4 linked regions of the Saccharomyces cerevisiae S288C genome follow. The gene in region 1 interacts genetically with each later gene. Each region holds a gene or a part of one and is shown on either strand. Other genes may lie near its edges.

Evidence for each region.
Region 2: mutations in PIH1 (region 1) and REX4 together harm fitness more than expected from each alone (negative genetic interaction), as found in Saccharomyces cerevisiae (3 studies listed by BioGRID).
Region 3: mutations in PIH1 (region 1) and RBP95 together harm fitness more than expected from each alone (negative genetic interaction), as found in Saccharomyces cerevisiae (3 studies listed by BioGRID).
Region 4: mutations in PIH1 (region 1) and TOM1 together harm fitness more than expected from each alone (negative genetic interaction), as found in Saccharomyces cerevisiae (2 studies listed by BioGRID).

What each region holds. Positions count from the first base shown.
Region 1 is NC_001140.6:175,935-180,140, forward strand, and holds PIH1 (Pih1p), read right to left. Parts: upstream 2,066-4,206; coding exon 1,031-2,065; downstream 1-1,030. Other genes in the region: YHR033W (putative glutamate 5-kinase), read left to right, coding at 1-885; GTPase-activating protein NEL1, read left to right, coding at 2,285-4,177. UniProt on the Saccharomyces cerevisiae protein: Involved in pre-rRNA processing and required for the NOP58-snoRNA interaction.
Region 2 is NC_001147.6:180,058-182,951, forward strand, and holds REX4 (putative 3'-5' exonuclease), read right to left. Parts: upstream 1,371-2,894; coding exon 501-1,370; downstream 1-500. Other genes in the region: Ras GTPase activating protein IRA2, read left to right, coding at 1-252; AVO1 (Avo1p), read left to right, coding at 1,625-2,894. UniProt on the Saccharomyces cerevisiae protein: Exoribonuclease involved in ribosome biosynthesis. Involved in the processing of ITS1, the internal transcribed spacer localized between the 18S and 5.8S rRNAs.
Region 3 is NC_001135.5:141,000-145,451, reverse strand, and holds RBP95 (RNA-binding ribosome assembly factor RBP95), read right to left. Parts: upstream 1,819-4,452; coding exon 946-1,818; downstream 1-945. Other genes in the region: CWH43 (Cwh43p), read left to right, coding at 1-679; CTO1 (Cto1p), read left to right, coding at 3,282-4,235.
Region 4 is NC_001136.10:1,367,637-1,373,341, reverse strand, and holds the start of TOM1 (E3 ubiquitin-protein ligase TOM1), read right to left. Parts: upstream 3,553-5,705; coding exon 1-3,552. Other genes in the region: bifunctional K:H/Na:H antiporter NHX1, read right to left, coding at 3,956-5,705. UniProt on the Saccharomyces cerevisiae protein: Probable ubiquitin ligase protein involved in many cellular processes, such as transcription regulation, maintenance of nuclear structure, cell cycle, mRNA export and rRNA maturation.

The sequences.
Region 1 (4,206 bases):
GTCATCCCTATAGTCAACGAAAACGATACGCTATCCATTAGCGAGATCGAGTTCGGCGATAACGACACGCTTTCTGCCATTACCGCTGCTCTTGTAGGGGCGGATTTCCTGTTCTTGCTCACAGATGTGGACTGCCTATATACAGACAATCCGCGCACTAATCCGGATGCTCGTCCTATTGTTCTCGTGCCAGAGCTATCAGAGGGCCTTCCGGGCGTCAACACTTCCAGTGGTTCAGGCTCCGAGGTTGGCACGGGCGGAATGCGCACCAAACTCATAGCCGCCGACCTCGCCTCTAATGCCGGTATCGAGACTATTGTGATGAAGAGCGACCGTCCAGAGTACGTCCCGAAGATCGTTGACTACATTCAGCATCACTTCCGCCCTCCGCGCCATATCGGAAACGGCACACAGCAGCAGTTTCTCGATCTTCAGGATACGGAGCTCGAACAGTTGCGTCGCTACGATGTTCCCATGCACACCAAGTTCTTAGCTAATGACAACAAACACAAGCTTAAGAACAGGGAATTTTGGATTCTGCACGGGCTCATTACCAAGGGCGCCATTATCATCGACGAGAACAGCTATGATAAACTTTTGTCAAAGGATATGGCTAGTCTGACTCCAAACGCCGTGATCGAAGTCCGAGACAACTTCCACGAACTTGAATGCGTTGATCTCAAAATAGGCCAGCGGTTACCCAATGGCGAATTGGATATCTCGAAGCCGATTCAGTCTGTTGGATGCGTCCGCTCCAATTATACGAGTCTGGAGCTTGCGAAGATCAAGGGCTTACCCAGTGAGAAGATTCACGATGTTTTGGGCTACAGTGTGAGTGAATACGTAGCACATAGAGAAAACATCGCTTTCCCTCCGCAATTTTGAGAATATTCCCTTTTTTTTACCGGATTAAAAAAAAAAAAAAAAATTCTGTTATAGATGCACATCATATCTCTCTCCTTTTTCCCGCTTTTATATATTCGTTCGTATTAGTCACAACAAAAACCAAAAGAATACTCGAAATGTTAGTTTATATATATATATATAGTGTGCGTTCTTTGCGGATATGGAAAATCTTGATATCTGCTGCATTCACGACTATGTCGCGCGGCAAAGGTATGCTCAGCTTACCGTTAATGTATAAAATATTCTCTGCGAAGTTGTAGCTCGGAGAGAACCGGTCCGGCTTCGAGTTCGGAGCTTTGTTCTCAATAAGAATTCGCAGCTTGTAGGCGGCCCCTTTGAACCTCTTCATCTTTACCTCGTATTCCGGCACGTCCTCCTGCTGCTCGTGCGGTGCAGGTGCAGGTGCAGGTGCCTGTTTCAGGTTTCTGTGAGCAATCTCGTTCTTATCAATCTCCTCTATCTTGGCTCCGGAGATTTTGTTCTCGATAGGGAACAATGGTGGTAGTGTTCCATCGTCGGGATCATTATTATCATCGCCATCGTCATTCCTTCCTCTCAATATACTCATCGGGTCTCCGGCCTCCTCTTCTATGATTTTATGCATTTTTGCCTTGTAATCTTGATGTAACTCATCATTCAATACCTCTAGTGCAGGAAGCTCAGCGCCCTTCTTCTTCATCTTGGGGAATGCAATGCGATCTCTGCACAATACCACCGAATCTCGGATCTCACATGACTCCAAGCACCATTCGACCAGTATCTCTCGCAGTTGGATATCATCGCATATCCAGCGCGAGCAATCGCTATTTATGCAGCAATCCCACACATAGCACTCCTGCCCCTTCTTGTCATGGTCCATGCGGTAGCAGGATGTAATAATAGGAATCTCCCATTCGTTTTGGATGATGAGCGGGAACACTATCCTTGCATTAAAATCGACCTCAGGTTTGGGCACTAACGGAGAGTGACAAACATTGATGAACACCTTCCTGCCATCTTGCAGTTTTTCCGGCCCATTAGCGGATAATAGTTTTGTCTTAATTACAAAATCTGCGATGGGCTCAATTTTAGACACCGATCCGTCTGCAGCGTCCACCGACACGTACTTGTCCTCGTTTCTATGACGTTGCTTAATTGGTCTCAATAAGAAATCGGCCATCGGTTAAGGTCTGTTTGTTCGCTTTGAAAAGTCTGTTCCCTGTATTCCTTTTTCTTCCATGCATATGAATTCAAGAATTCCTAGTTTTTTTCTATCATTATTGTCTTCTGATTTTTTTTAAGGAAAAAAAATATCAAGAGTAAAAATAGTGATCAGGTACTGAATCCTGTATTTGTACAATACTGCAATCTAGCACCAAATTTGGCCAAGGAAGTGCCTATGTGTTCTCCAACTAATTTCTTATATGAGCCCTTTTCCAGCGATGCTGTGACGCAGAACTATGACCAAAATCTAAAATGCACCAAATGTGGCGCCTATTATTCGATGGCTTGTTCCCTACGAGAACAGAATGTTTGGACTTGTCTATTCTGCAACCAATCAAACTCAAATGCTGAATTGCCACTGGTACCTTCCAACACCTATACATTGACTTCTGCAAAGAAAGAAATACTTTCAAGACGGACCATTATGATTATAGACGCTATTTGCGATCCTCATGAGCTAAATTATTTAGTTTCCATTCTATGTAATAATTACATCACAAGACAACAAGAGCCACTATCAATAATTACTATTCAGCAATCAGGTCATGTGATTTTACACAATGCTGTGAATCACAGACGTGATGCTGTATTTTCAATAAATGAATTTATGACCAAATATAATCTTGATAAATTAAATGCCAGTTACTTCGAGAAAAAAATTTCAGAAATCAATCAAGAATCATACTGGTTTGATAAATCTACTCAGGGTTCTTTAAGAAAATTGCTACGGGAAATATGCAAGATTGCAAACAAAGTGAATATCAGTTCTAAAAGGGACAAGCGTTGCACCGGATTAGCGCTGTTCGTTTCATCCGTACTGGCGTCTCAGTGCAGTTTGTCAGCCTACTGTCATATAGTTTCATTCCTGAATGGTCCATGTACTAAGGGTGGCGGCAAAGTTATGTCAAGAGAACGTGGTGAAAGCATGAGACAAAACCACCATTTTGAATCCAAAAGTTCACAATTGCAACTATCAAAAAGTCCGACAAAATTTTACAAGAAAATGCTTGAAAAATTTGCAAACCAATCGTTAATCTATGAATTCTTTATAGCTTCATTGGATCAAATCGGTATACTCGAAATGAGTCCATTAATAACTTCGTCAATGGCAGTTTCTCAGTTTGATTCATTCAATGATGAGAGATTCGCAATGTCTTTTCAAAAGTACCTGAACTTGCGTGACCATAATGCCATTTACAATTGTCATTCAAAGATAATGACCGCAAAGAACGCTATTGTCGTTAAGGACTTCCCAAAATATAGCTTAAACCCTAAAAACCTTTCTCTACCATTAGAAATCTCACTAGGTCACAATTCAGCTGAAGCTCCTATACAGTTTCAAACCACTTTTGAAAATCAAACGGAAAAATACATAAGAATTGAAACCCTCTTATTGCCAAAAGCCAATAGATCATTTGGGGCACAAAATGAAATTGTGTTTTCAATGAAAAAGATAGCCTCACGAATTATCGATAGCTTTGCTTACTCATCCAAGCACACTAAAGAATTGATGAAGCAATTGTTTCTATTACCAAATCAAATCCGGGGAAAAGACGTAGATATGGTCAATCTGATACAGTGGTGTTATCATATATATAGGTCTCCAATTCTATCGGTTCGGAATACTTCACCTGATGAAAGGTACCTTTTTCTTCACCGAATAATAAACGCTTCTAAAGACACATGCCTTTCATTATGCAAACCCTTCATCTGGAGTTACAGTGATTTGAAACACGACTGGATCGTGTTGGATGTCCCATTAACAAGAGCCCAGATACTTCAAGATGATAAAACCACCATTTGTGTAGATGGTGGCTCGTACTTAGTTTTAAGAAGGGGAAAACTTTTGGAAAAAGAAGGTCGCGAGCTCTGTTGCAAGCTTTTAAATGACTTGCAAAGGTTTCCGCAGCCATTATATGTTGAAACTAAAACCGGTGGCAGTCAGGACCGTTTCTTGAAAAGCAAAATTATTCCCTTGGACATCACTGACAAGGAAACTCTTGGTACAGAGGATATGACATTCAATGAATATTTCAACTTGTTCACCGATCTAAGTGGAAGCAAATAACTCGCTAAATATTCTTGCTGCACTTTGCG
Region 2 (2,894 bases), on another chromosome or scaffold:
TCGGATTGTGTTCCACTTGCTTTCGATATTTTAAACTTATTAGTGACGCATTCAGAGTCTAATTCGTTAGAAAAACTTCACGAAGAATCCATTGAACGTCTAACCAAAAGAGGTTTATCGATTGTGACTTCTTCTGGTATATTTGCGAAGAACTCCGACATGATGATACCTTTAGATGTAAAACCTGAAGATATCTATGAACGTAAGAGAATAATGACAATGATTTTATCAAGGATGTCATGTTCTGCTTAGAGGTGTTACATAAACTAATGAAAGAAATATCAATATCTATCTGTAAGCATGAATGTACATATCTCATGTTAGGGTTTTCTTATCGCTAATTTTTCGCAATTTGTTACGTGGGTTGCTTTTATACAGCTACAATTTTTATATATTCTATCGTGTAATGAATGGCTCAGTAAATTCAAGCGCCACATAGACTAATGTACATACCAATGCATTTTAATTGTAAGAATAAAAGGGGCCATTCATCTACCGTCTTAGTTGAAAGTGTTTCTGTGAATTTTTTCAAATTCCGTTTTTTCCTTTTTATATAATAGCATGGTGGCACGAGCATCTTCGACTGAAGAATGCTCACCTTCTTGAATGGAAATTTTTAAAACCTCCCTGGTTAATTTCTTTAAGCTGGGTGTTTTACCCTTAGCATACAACTTCCTGAATGGGAGGTGTCTTGAAGTGTCCCTGAGTAGTGACTTTGGGTGGGATAACATCAATGCTTCGAGATCATGCTTTAAAGCGTGCCCTACAAGAATTCTACCTTCCAGAATATCCGCAGTCTTTTTTTGAGCTTCTTTGAATGTAATGGCATTTTTCATATGCTCTGGTTTAATACCACTAACCCAAGTTCTCCATTCTACAACTTTCTCTCTTGGCTTAACAAATTCATCGAGGACGACATGTCCAAAATAATTTACGATTGATATTCTAGCTAACGCAGACTCTTTACCCTCGGGACCAACGCCTACAAATTCACAATCCATGGCGATGTATTTCCCAATTTCTTTACTCTTATTACTATTAATACGAGTATCTTCCGAAATACCCACTTTTACTGGCTCTTTAATAGTAGTACTAGTATTTGCTTTATTTGGGTTGAATTCAAACACTTTTCCCTCGAGCTTGTCTTTCTCATGCTTACTAATCTCCTTGTTCATGTTATATACCATGTCCATAATTTTACTGCCGTTTTTGCGCTTTCGAGGGGCATATTGGGTTGTACTACTGACATTTACTGTTTTGCTAACTTTCTTAACGTTTCTGATTTTCCTATTTGATTGCTTATTCTTTCCATTGGAGGTAGGATTGCTTTCGGAGGCTAATAGTGCCTGCCAGTTTGAAGAGAGAGCCATTAAAACTGTACGCTATCTACTTTATTAAATCTGTAAACGTCTATGAAGCCTCTAGAACCAGGCTTTAAATGGATTGTGGTTGCGATGAGGTTAGTTTAACTTTTGAAATTTTTCTTTTTTTTAGCCGACCTTACATATCAGCCCGCGTCAAAAAATATACGGTATAATAATTCTCAATAGATACAGGCTACTGAACAGGAAAACTAAATAAAACAGTGTTTGTAAAACCCCCACCACACCATAATAAGACGATAATGGACACGGTGACGGTATTAAATGAACTGCGGGCTCAGTTTCTACGAGTGTGTCCGGAGAAAGATCAAATGAAAAGAATAATAAAACCGTACATACCCGTAGATGAATTCAACACAGAGCAGTGCTTAGATTCTTCTATCCGTGAATTATATATGAACTCAGACGGCGTAAGCTTGTTACCTGAACTAGAGTCTCCACCGGTATCTAAGGATTTTATGGAAAACTATGCTTCATTAGGGAAAATGAGGATAATGAGGGAGAATGAAGGCCAAAAAGGAAAGGCTAACCAGAATTTAATAGGAGCAGAGAAGACTGAAAGAGACGAGGAAGAAACACGAAATTTGCAAGATAAAAGTGCAAAAAATACTCTGATAGTTGAAGAAAATGGAACACTTCGTTATAATCCACTTAATTCATCTGCGTCGAACTCTCTTTTAAATGATGACGACCATACCAGTGGAAAACATCACAAAACTTCCTCAAAGGAAGACTCATATTTAAATAGTTCGATGGAAATGCAGAAGAAATCTAGTAAGAGATCGTCGCTTCCTTTCGTGAGGATATTCAAAAGTCGAAGGGACCACTCAAATACTTCTGGAAATAAAAATGTCATGAATACAACTAATACAAGAGCAAAATCATCTACTTTGCATCCACCTGGTGCTCGCCATAATAAGAAAGGCAGTAAATTCGATATGAACTTCGATTTCGATGAAAACTTAGAAGAAGAAGATGATGACGACGACGATGACGAAGAAGGTGACGATATACACTCTCAATTTTTTCAGTTAGATGATGATTTTGATGCTAAGGGTTCTGGAGCAAGTCCAGCCCACAAAGGCATCAACGGCATGTCCAACAATAAAAACAACACCTACACAAATAACAGAAACAGCATCAGCATTCTTGATGATCGAGAGAGTTCAAATGGCAATATAGGAAGTGCTTCAAGGTTAAAATCTCATTTCCCCACAAGTCAAAAGGGGAAAATTTTTTTAACTGACAATAAAAATGATGGACAAAAATCTGATTCACTGAATGCCAATAAAGGTATACATGGAGATGGAAGCAGCGCCAGCGGTAACGGATCGGTGAGTAGGGACGGTTTGACGGAAACGGAAAGCAACAATATTTCCGATATGGAATCTTATATCAATGAAAAAGATTTAGATGATTTGAATTTTGATACAGTGACCTCAAACATAAACAAAACAGTATCTGATTTGGGAGGACATGAATCTACAAATGATGGAACGGCGGTCATGAACA
Region 3 (4,452 bases), on another chromosome or scaffold:
GAACAGGGATCTAACTAGCAAACTAGCTCATGATTTGAATATGTATGCAGATTTCGGACCAGGTCCAAATAAACATACCTGGGGCTGTGTTCTTCTTTCTAAATTCCCTATCGTAAATTCTACGCATCATTTATTGCCCTCTCCAGTTGGGGAACTTGCGCCAGCCATTCATGCCACACTTCAAACGTACAATGACACTCTCGTTGACGTCTTTGTATTCCATAGTGGACAAGAAGAGGATGAAGAGGATAGAAGACTGCAAAGTAACTACATGGCTAAGCTCATGGGCAATACGACTCGCCCAGCTATTTTATTAAGTTACTTAGTTGTTGATCCAGGTGAAGGCAACTACAATACGTACGTTAGTGAAACATCCGGAATGCACGACATTGATCCTTCTGACGATGATAGATGGTGTGAGTATATCTTGTATAGGGGCTTGAGAAGAACAGGATATGCTAGAGTTGCAAGAGGAACGATAACCGATACGGAGCTACAAGTTGGTAAGTTCCAAGTTTTGAGTGAGCAAGCGTTAGTAGAGCACTCGGATTCTATGTATGAATACGGTCATATGAGTGAACCGGAATATGAGGACATGAAATTTCCAGATAAGTTTTTAGGCGAAGGTGAGAGGGGTCACTTCTACCATGTTTTTGATGAGCCACGTTATTACTTATAAGAGGCCGTAAGGTGGTTTTATAAATCAGTGTAATCACATTGTGTGTACTGAAAATCTTGATAACTTAAGGTAAGTTATGTATCCACCTGATTTTTTTGACCTCGAATTTTAAAAATTTATGTGATTTCTTTATGTATGTTACTTAGACGATCTTGTTATAGTTTTGTAAGAAATTATACTTCCTGAAACGATTTATCCCGCTACTTTTTGAGCGTATTTCACAGTAAAATATATACTACAACTGAACAACGTTGTTGAACTCTATGTTAAACATCAACGAAGAAATTCTTAAGTTCTATCTGCTCCGAGTCATCATTCTTCCAAATTTCTAGTAATTTCAGACTTCTTTGAACAAGCTCTTTATTCGGCATTTGTACTTCCTCTTGCTCGTCTTGTACCTCTTTTTGCTTCCCTTGTTCGGCATTACCGTCTTTTTCACCTTCTTCTTTTTCTTCACCATTAATTGGTTCGCTAGCCTTATCCTCTGCAATTAACGCTTTTATTTTTGTTTCTTGATCTTCCACATAGTCGTTCCATTGCTTCAGTTTTCCTTTGCATTTTGATATTAGTTCTTCTTTTGATTTACCTTGTAAGTCCCTGAAATATAAAAGCAAAAGATCATTATATACTGAGGGGATTTCGTCCAAGTTGAAAAAATGCTTAATAAGCCAATTTTGCTTTTGCTTGGAAAATTTCCAAACTTCAACAACACCAGACTCTGATGGCTCGTCTTTGATCAGGGAGTCGCCGTAATTTTCTTTTACACTTTCCAATTCTAGGATTCCGGTGGGAAACTTGCTCTCAGACTTTGTCCTGAAAAATTCTATCAGGTAACGTAATTGATCTTTAAGAATTTTATTTTTTTTCGAATTCTTTTCATCCTTTGACAATTTTTCCTTCTTCTTCGTCCCTGGTTTCGACACACGCTTCCCTTTTTTGGTAGAGGATTTGCTCTCACCATTAATGATTCTTTTTTTCTCTTTCTTTGTCAAATTACCAGTGGATAAATGCGTAGTGATATTTAGTGGATCATCATCTATTAGATTGGATTGGCCTTTTTCTTTACTTTCGTCACCACTGCTTATAGTCTGTCTCTTCAAAGCAATTCTTTTCCAGGCAGGAACGTGATTTTCGGACATTTAATTGTGAAGTGAATGTTTCTTCTGCTTGTAATTTGTCGATAAAGAAAGCACTTATGACAGTACTTTGATATTTGAATTTAGCTCATCTCTTTTCGTTCCTTTTTCTCGCTCGAAAATTTTCAATAATTTGCAGTAAAAAGGCGATGCCAGTAAAAAACTACCTGCAAAGGGAGCGTTAGACATATCTTTTATTGGCGACAAATATTTTTAGCGATATATATCCGTAAAGATCTGGCGATATTCTTTATCACTCGATGATAATAAATTCTTTTACACTTTGCTATTTTCCATGAGAACGGTTGGTATTCCTGTTCCCAATAACAAAAGCGTTTGCATATTTTTATGGTGAAGGTACTATCAACTGTAAAGTATGTACAATAGATTTATTAAAGGGAAACACTTTTCGTAGTAAGAAAAGCAGGTTTATAATTCAATTGTTTTAAAGCTGAATAATGCCGTGGTGTTAAACTACGACCGAGCTATAGCAACAGCATCGGCCACACACTCTCTCTTATTCTTATGTTAATAGTCGACCTTTCAAGGATGTTCTTGTTGGAATAGAAATCCACTATCGTCTATCAACTAATAGTTATATTATCAATATATTATCATATACGGTGTTAAGATGATGACATAAGTTATGAGAAGCTGTCATCGAAGTTAGAGGAAGCTGAAGTGCAAGGATTGATAATGTAATAGGATAATGAAACATATAAAATAGAAGAAGGGATAATCGTAATATTAGTATGTAGAAATATGGATTCCATTTTGAGGATTCCTCTATCCTTGAAGAGAACTCCTAGTATATTCCGTATACATAATATTGTTGCTTTTCTCGAATCATGTATCAAGATTACTAGCGCAAGTGGTTTAGTGGTAAAATCCAACGTTGCCATCGTTGGGCCCCCGGTTCGATTCCGGGCTTGCGCATCTTTTTTACTTTATATACTATTTTTTTTTTTTTTCTTTTTCCCAAATTTTTTCATGAAAAATTTGGCGGAACGGTACATAAGAATAGAAGAGATTCGTTATGAAAATTTTCTACTCTCTTTCACATTTTTTTTTTCATAAGAATTAAAAAAATAAGCTTAATGCCCTCTTTGTACGATGGTGTCACTCTAAAATTATTTACGTAATTTAATTGGATGTGATATCAAGCACTAGTTTTGTTTGGAGGAGCAGAGATTGAAAGCCTAGCTTTTACACCGGTTTGAGTCGGTTCCTTCGTTTTCTTAGTTGGAATTGATATAGAAGTGTGTGGACAATCGATTTGCAAAACTTTTTATTTTATGTATTACTACTGAGCTTGTTTATCTGTATACTTTTTTCTTATTATTATGTAGTTAGAGGTTAGTTCTTATCGTTTTCTTTAAAAGCGACCTTTCTTCGCACAAAGCAATGTTGACAATCGAGCCAATGCATTTAACAATTGCAGTAACCAGAAGCGAACAGTGGAGGATATGAAAACCATTATTATTTCAGATTTTGATGAAACAATCACAAGAGTTGACACAATCTGCACCATTGCTAAATTACCGTATCTACTGAACCCGCGGTTGAAACCTGAGTGGGGTCATTTTACCAAGACATATATGGACGGATACCATAAATACAAATACAATGGAACGAGATCACTGCCGTTGTTATCTTCAGGCGTACCTACGATAATTTCGCAGTCTAACTTCAATAAGTTGTTTGCGGACGAATTAAAATATCAAAATCATAACAGGGTTGTTGAGTTAAATAGTGTAAATGAAATTACAAAACAACAGATTTTTAAGTCGATTTCTTTGGATCAAATGAAAACGTTCGCCAGAGATCAGAATCACGAAGATTGTTTACTAAGAGATGGTTTCAAAACGTTTTGCTCTTCAGTTGTCAAAAATTTTGAAAGTGATTTTTACGTTTTATCTATAAATTGGTCAAAAGAGTTTATTCATGAAGTCATTGGTGACAGAAGACTTAAAAATAGTCATATTTTTTGTAACGATCTAAAAAAAGTTAGTGACAAGTGTTCTCAAAGCTACAATGGTGAATTTGATTGTCGGTTATTGACAGGCTCTGATAAGGTCAAGATACTGGGTGAAATATTAGATAAGATCGACTCAGGTTGCAATAAAGAAGGAAATTCTTGCAGCTATTGGTATATAGGGGATAGTGAGACTGACTTGTTGTCCATATTACATCCATCTACTAATGGTGTACTGCTAATAAACCCGCAAGAAAATCCTTCCAAATTCATAAAAATTACCGAAAAGATTATTGGTATCCCAAAGGATAAAATCTCGAGTTTTGAAGCTGATAATGGTCCAGCGTGGTTACAGTTTTGTGAAAAGGAAGGCGGTAAAGGTGCCTACCTTGTGAAATCCTGGGACTCTTTAAAAGATTTGATCATGCAGGTAACAAAAATGTAGAAACGGATGAAATCCTGTATATTCAAATTTATATAACCAGGACGTTGCAGTGCTAATAATAATGGAATACCGCTAATTTTCCTCCTGTTTTTTCTTTTTTAAGTAAAGATAAAATAGTATTTCACTTGCACTATTCTTCTATCTCCGTAATCGGTCTCGGTCTAAAATTACTTTGAGATGTTCAAATACATGGGGCTAATAATTTTAAGGGCTTGCA
Region 4 (5,705 bases), on another chromosome or scaffold:
CACATTAGTGAATATATTTTTGAGCATACTAAGAAGTTGCTTGAAAACTGAGTAAGGCACATTACGGGACTGTGTCTTGAAGAGGCTATCCGATTTATCCAAATCTAAAATCATTGCGAGAGCCATTACCTTAATAGGAACTGTTAAAGCTTTCATAATATTATAATCGTCATCTATTGAAACGTAATACTTACCAATACTTTGGACATTCTCCATGGTTTCAGTTTGCATTGATTTGTTGTAAAAGGTGAGAGCATTAATTAAACAGCTTAAGGTTAGGATACCGTTGGACTCATCTATGTAGTTTATGTTATCAAGTGAGGATAAATCTTTTATTTTTGTCATTCTCGTAAAGAGATCCCTTATAATGTGCAAATAAAGTAAATAGCCCCCCTTTTGATAGAAAATATAAGCCGGTATTGTTTGTAATATTTCAGTGGAATTAGGGGAAGCCTTTGGAATAGTAAACACAAAGGTGTTGAAGTTTAATAAAACGAGAATATACGGTAGATGACCTTCGAGTTCGGTGGCCTTCAACATTTCAATAACATTTTCAACAACGTTCTCAAATATATGAACTTCTGTCGTCAAATCTTTATGCTCTAGATCCATATTCCTAGAGTGGCTTAACCTTAAAAAGCAGCGAAATAGAATTGCAGTATTTGATTGTAATGTATACAGTATTGTTCGCATTTGAAGAGTATTTCTCGTTTTTACGCTGGTAATTTTCCCCTTTTGATCACCCTTTTTTGGGTCATCGATATAAATTTGAAGTGGTGGTCCATCTCCGGAAACATCCACTATAGGCAACGGCATTGTTTCTGTAATAACAGAATCTGGCATATGTTGGCGTATGTACATTTCCTCCAACGCACATTTCTGGAATAGCAACTTTAAGTTTTTAATTAAAGAAAATCCTCTTTTGTCAAAATAAGAATAGATCTGCATGATTCTCTTACAAGATAAGGTAGTGAGGTCAATGTATACATTCGTAACAATGTTCAAAATAGCGGCAAGTCGACAAAGTTTTGAATGGCATGAACGCACCGAGTTTTCCCCATCTCTTTCTAAAAAGAAACTTCTATCATTTGGACTATTCAAAAAATCATTCAGGTTCTCCAATTGATCGTTCAATACTTTCATAACATCCATGAATGCGTAGTCTTCGTATTTTTCATCCAGATACTGGAGGACCTCAGTAACATTTGAGATTGCCACGGAGGTAAAGTATTCATAAGGAGGATTTTCCATAAATATTATTGCCAGAAAATCTCTCGCTTCCAGATGTTGTGGCACCTGTGAAAAAGAACCATTTCCTAAAGACATACCAAACAAAACACTGGTAAATGTGTCCAGCATAGTTCCCTTATCTAATAGCTCCCAGTATGCAGGTTCATGTTCCTCTTTATCTGTCAATATTTCCTCATTTTTTCTGTGAAAAAAGTACTTTTGATCTTTTGGTGAAGTAAAAAGAAACTCTCTTTCATTTCTAAAGGTACTTGGCATTTTTCTGATGACGTTACACAAAGCCTCCACGATATTTGCCTTTAAGTCTGGATAATGTCTTGCTAATTCATCAATGTCAGTACCATATTCCGTAGAACGATCTCCACCTGTTAATATACGCGCGTGGTCAGCATCGAGTAAGAAATCAAACAAATTGTTTATGAGACCCTTTTCTTTAACTTGCTTCAGCCCTTCTGGATTCAAGCATATGGCAGAAACGACATCTGGAAGTAAACTTAATAATTCGGCGGAAGGCCCAATTAACTTTGGAAAATTATCGATAACATATGGAATAAGTCCTGCTTCAACCAGAACAGGATAAATAGTAGGCTCACTATTTATTACTTTCTGAACTACATCCAGAGTGTAAGTTATTAATGTTAAACCGAATACAAGTTTATTTTCTAGGATTTTCTTTAATGAAACAAGTATCGGCGAATCTATTAAATTTCTAATTCTATCCCCTGAGTCTGTGCTTAATAATTTGAGAACGAGTTTCAATAAACTTCTAATATATGCCAACTCCCTAAAAGAAATTGAATAATAAACCACTGAATATTTTGGCGGTTGCCACGTCTCTGGATGTGCAAGCGTGAAATCAATCTCATTGGCGACTGAAGTGATCAGCATAGTAAACCCATCATTTTCGATAAATTCAGTGGTAGTTTCACTGTTATCTATAAATGTTTCTAGGAGATGGGTAGCAGATGCGAGGGTACGCTTATATGGGCAATTTCTTATAGATACAATTTCCAATAAAGTAGGTATTAAACCCGCGGCGAAAAGAGATTCATGCAAAGGCTTAACGTCAGCTAAATTTGATATCAAGTAAAAGAACCTCACATTATATTCTTCATCGATTTCGTCTGTCGCTTCTCTCAATGTCTTGGCAATGTAACGGAGAATCTGAAACAACAGACCATGCGATATGTTACCACCGAGATTTCTGATAATGTCTGAGCACCAGACATGCTTCAAGGATATACATTCCAATGTGAATAAAGCATCCGTTCTTAGCTCTTTTGGTATTTTGGTTTCAGACAACGATATCAAATCAGTTAGACTATTAAAAGCATACGGATCTAATTCAAATAACTTCGAGCTTACTTGAGGAGGCGAGAAAATGGTGTTAACAAATGCAATAGCATTCAGTTTTGTTTCAATAATTATATTTCTCAAATCTATATTTTCACCTGAATCATCACTGAAGGCCTTCGCCACCGAAGCTTTTATTGAGAAATCAAACCAACTTTCTGCGGGTAAAAGGGCCATACCCTTATCAAATATTTGCTGTAGTGAGTGTTCACACAGTTCTTGGGTCGTCATAGTTACCTTCTTAATGGAAGTTTGGGTTTCATTAATGTTATTTTTTTGCTGGCTTGACTTTTTAAAGTCGTTTGAAGTATAATGTGTAAATCTCAACTTTCTCCATTTTTGAGGCACTTTTTTCTTATCAAAATATAGATCGACAAGAGAAAAGTGCTCTCCGTCTTCATCCATGACGGAAGATGACAGAGATAAAGCTAGTTTGAGAGTTTTTTTCCTGAGGTTGTGATCTCCAAATATGTTATGTGCAACTATTTTTTCTCTCGCAATCACAAACCTTTCCCCTAAAATGGCTAAAATTCGCATGACCGCTAGTTTTATTGTAAAATTCGGACAATTCAGTAGATACATTAAAACATCTCCAGATGAATAAACAAACCTGTTTTCTGTATTTAGAAGTAGTCGACGAGTAAACTTTAGCATTTTCAAACAATAATCAACATCATGCGCTTCCATTTCCACCAATTTGACTTCACACTCCTTCTTGGGGTCTTGCTTGTATTTATATTTCTCTGCCACTTTTAACAACAGCCCGTCCATTCTGTCTAGAATGGGAATCCAAACATAAAGATCATCTCTGGATCGGTCCCACTCTTGGATTGCCTCAATTCTTTCTAAAAATGTGGGAGTATCACAATCAATCAAATAATCAACTAAGGGCTTATAACCAGCGGCGAGTTTCTCCTTTCTTGCCTTTTCACACCGAGTAAAAAGCACCATGAATATATATTTTCAATCAAAGGCAAAAAGTAAACTAAATATGCACTATTTTCTCACCAATTATACGAGTAGTTATGGATATTCAGTAACTAAGGTATTTGAAAAATATTCGTTGTTTTACCTTTTCTTCTTTTCCTCTCCCAAAATCATGGTGATTTAGTATCGGCTCATTAAAAGCTAGCTGAAATTCCTCATTATCACAAAGCGGCAAAACTGAAAGCAGTCGGGTAACGTGCGAAATATGATTAAATAAGATCAATCCTACTAGCGTGTATATAACAGTACATGATTTAAAATGAATAAAGTGTAGAAGGGTATTCCTTCGGCGTTGAGTAAGAGAGAATGTATAAAGACTTAATTAATATATTTATATTAGAAACAAGGAAACCATACACTTTAAAGTCTAGTGGTTTTGGGAAGAGAAATCTGCAGGTGATTGCGTAGCCGAATCTTGTAAGGATGGAGAAACGTTGTCCAAGAATACTGGCTTCAATACCTGTTCATCAAAATTTTGAAACCATTGTGAGTCGGAATTAAAGATTGTTCCCAGTTTATCTCTCAAATTACGCTTATCCATAGAAGACCTTGCCGGGTTAGGGCTAGTATTCTCAGTTTCATTAAGGCCTCCAAAAGTATTACCACCAGTTGTGGATATGTTATTGGGGAGATTCTTGTTACTGCTGACCGCGAATTGGTCAATTGAAATATCTGGAGAATTGTTGTCAGAATATGGGCCCAAATCTGTCTGAATAGAACTACCGTTCAATAAATTTATCGCCCTTGGAGCCTCTATATCAAACTCGTCATCAGATGTATCTTCTTCACTTATGCAACCAGTCTTAATATTTAAAACTTCTAACATTCCTGCAGTAGTGCCCCCAAAAATGATAACTGTTAAAACAACAACAACAAGGACCGTTGCCAATAAAGTGAACTTATACTCACCTTGAATTCCCAACGCCAAGGCGACACCAACAGCACCACGTAAACCTGCCCAAAATGTCATCATTTGGTAATTGTAGGGTATTTCATCGGGAACAGAAATATTTTCTCCGGTTATGCCGCTCATAGATCTGATTGTCTTTACTCTATATATCCAGTTAACAAATTGCGACAATGGGAACACAGCACACCAACGAGCAACACATATAGAAATAGCTGCCACAATAATTAGCAGTGGCTTATAGACTAGTTCTACTTCAGTAAAAAGTTCTAAACCTAGATAGATAAAGATGAAATTCTCTGATAATCTTGCCAATAGTTGGAAAATATACTTAATGGTGATCTGTGATCTTCTTGACATGTTATAATAGGCGTAATGTTTTAAAGTAATTCCGCAAAATAACAAGGAGACGATACCGGACATATGGCAACCGTTGGAGAAAAAATAGGATTCATAAGCAATCAACAAGATCAAACAACTCTCAATTTGAGGATAGCGCCTTATGTGAGTGTGTTTCAACAGAAGAGCAACAAGAATTCCTATAAGAACGCCTATCAACAACGAAACGGAGAAAGTCATCAAAAAGAGGCCTGCCCCTTCAAAAACCGACGAAAATGTTGCAGGTTGACCATGAAATTTTTGACAGGTTTCAAACATAACAATAGAGATGGCATCATTTAACAGTGATTCTCCAAAAATGATGGTATATAGCTTAGGATCCACTTTATACGCATTGAAAATTGAAAGAATTGTAACAGGGTCGGTAGCAGATAATGTAGCACCAACAGACATTGCATCTGCGAATGAAATGTCAATACTCTCTAGTCCTAAAAAGGTCCAGATATACAATATGATTCCAATAACCACAGCAGATATGAAGGTGCCCGGTATGGCGAAAATTAAGATAGATAACATATTATTGAAAAAGTTCACTTGATTCAACTCGTACCCACTATTTAAAATAATTGGCGGCAATAGAACATTAAAAAAGTAGGATGAATTAAAAGTAACCGTATCTTGAATATAATGCCCGGGGGACATCCTTATTATCAAGCCAATAACCATACCATAAAAAATAGAAAGCACAGTTTCATGCACTGCCCTAATTCGTTTCTGAGTTAAATAGTAACTAGACCACAATGCAGAGATCAATAGGAGCAACATAATGAACAATGCCCATGAAGAGAACATTTCTTCTGTAACAGGGTTT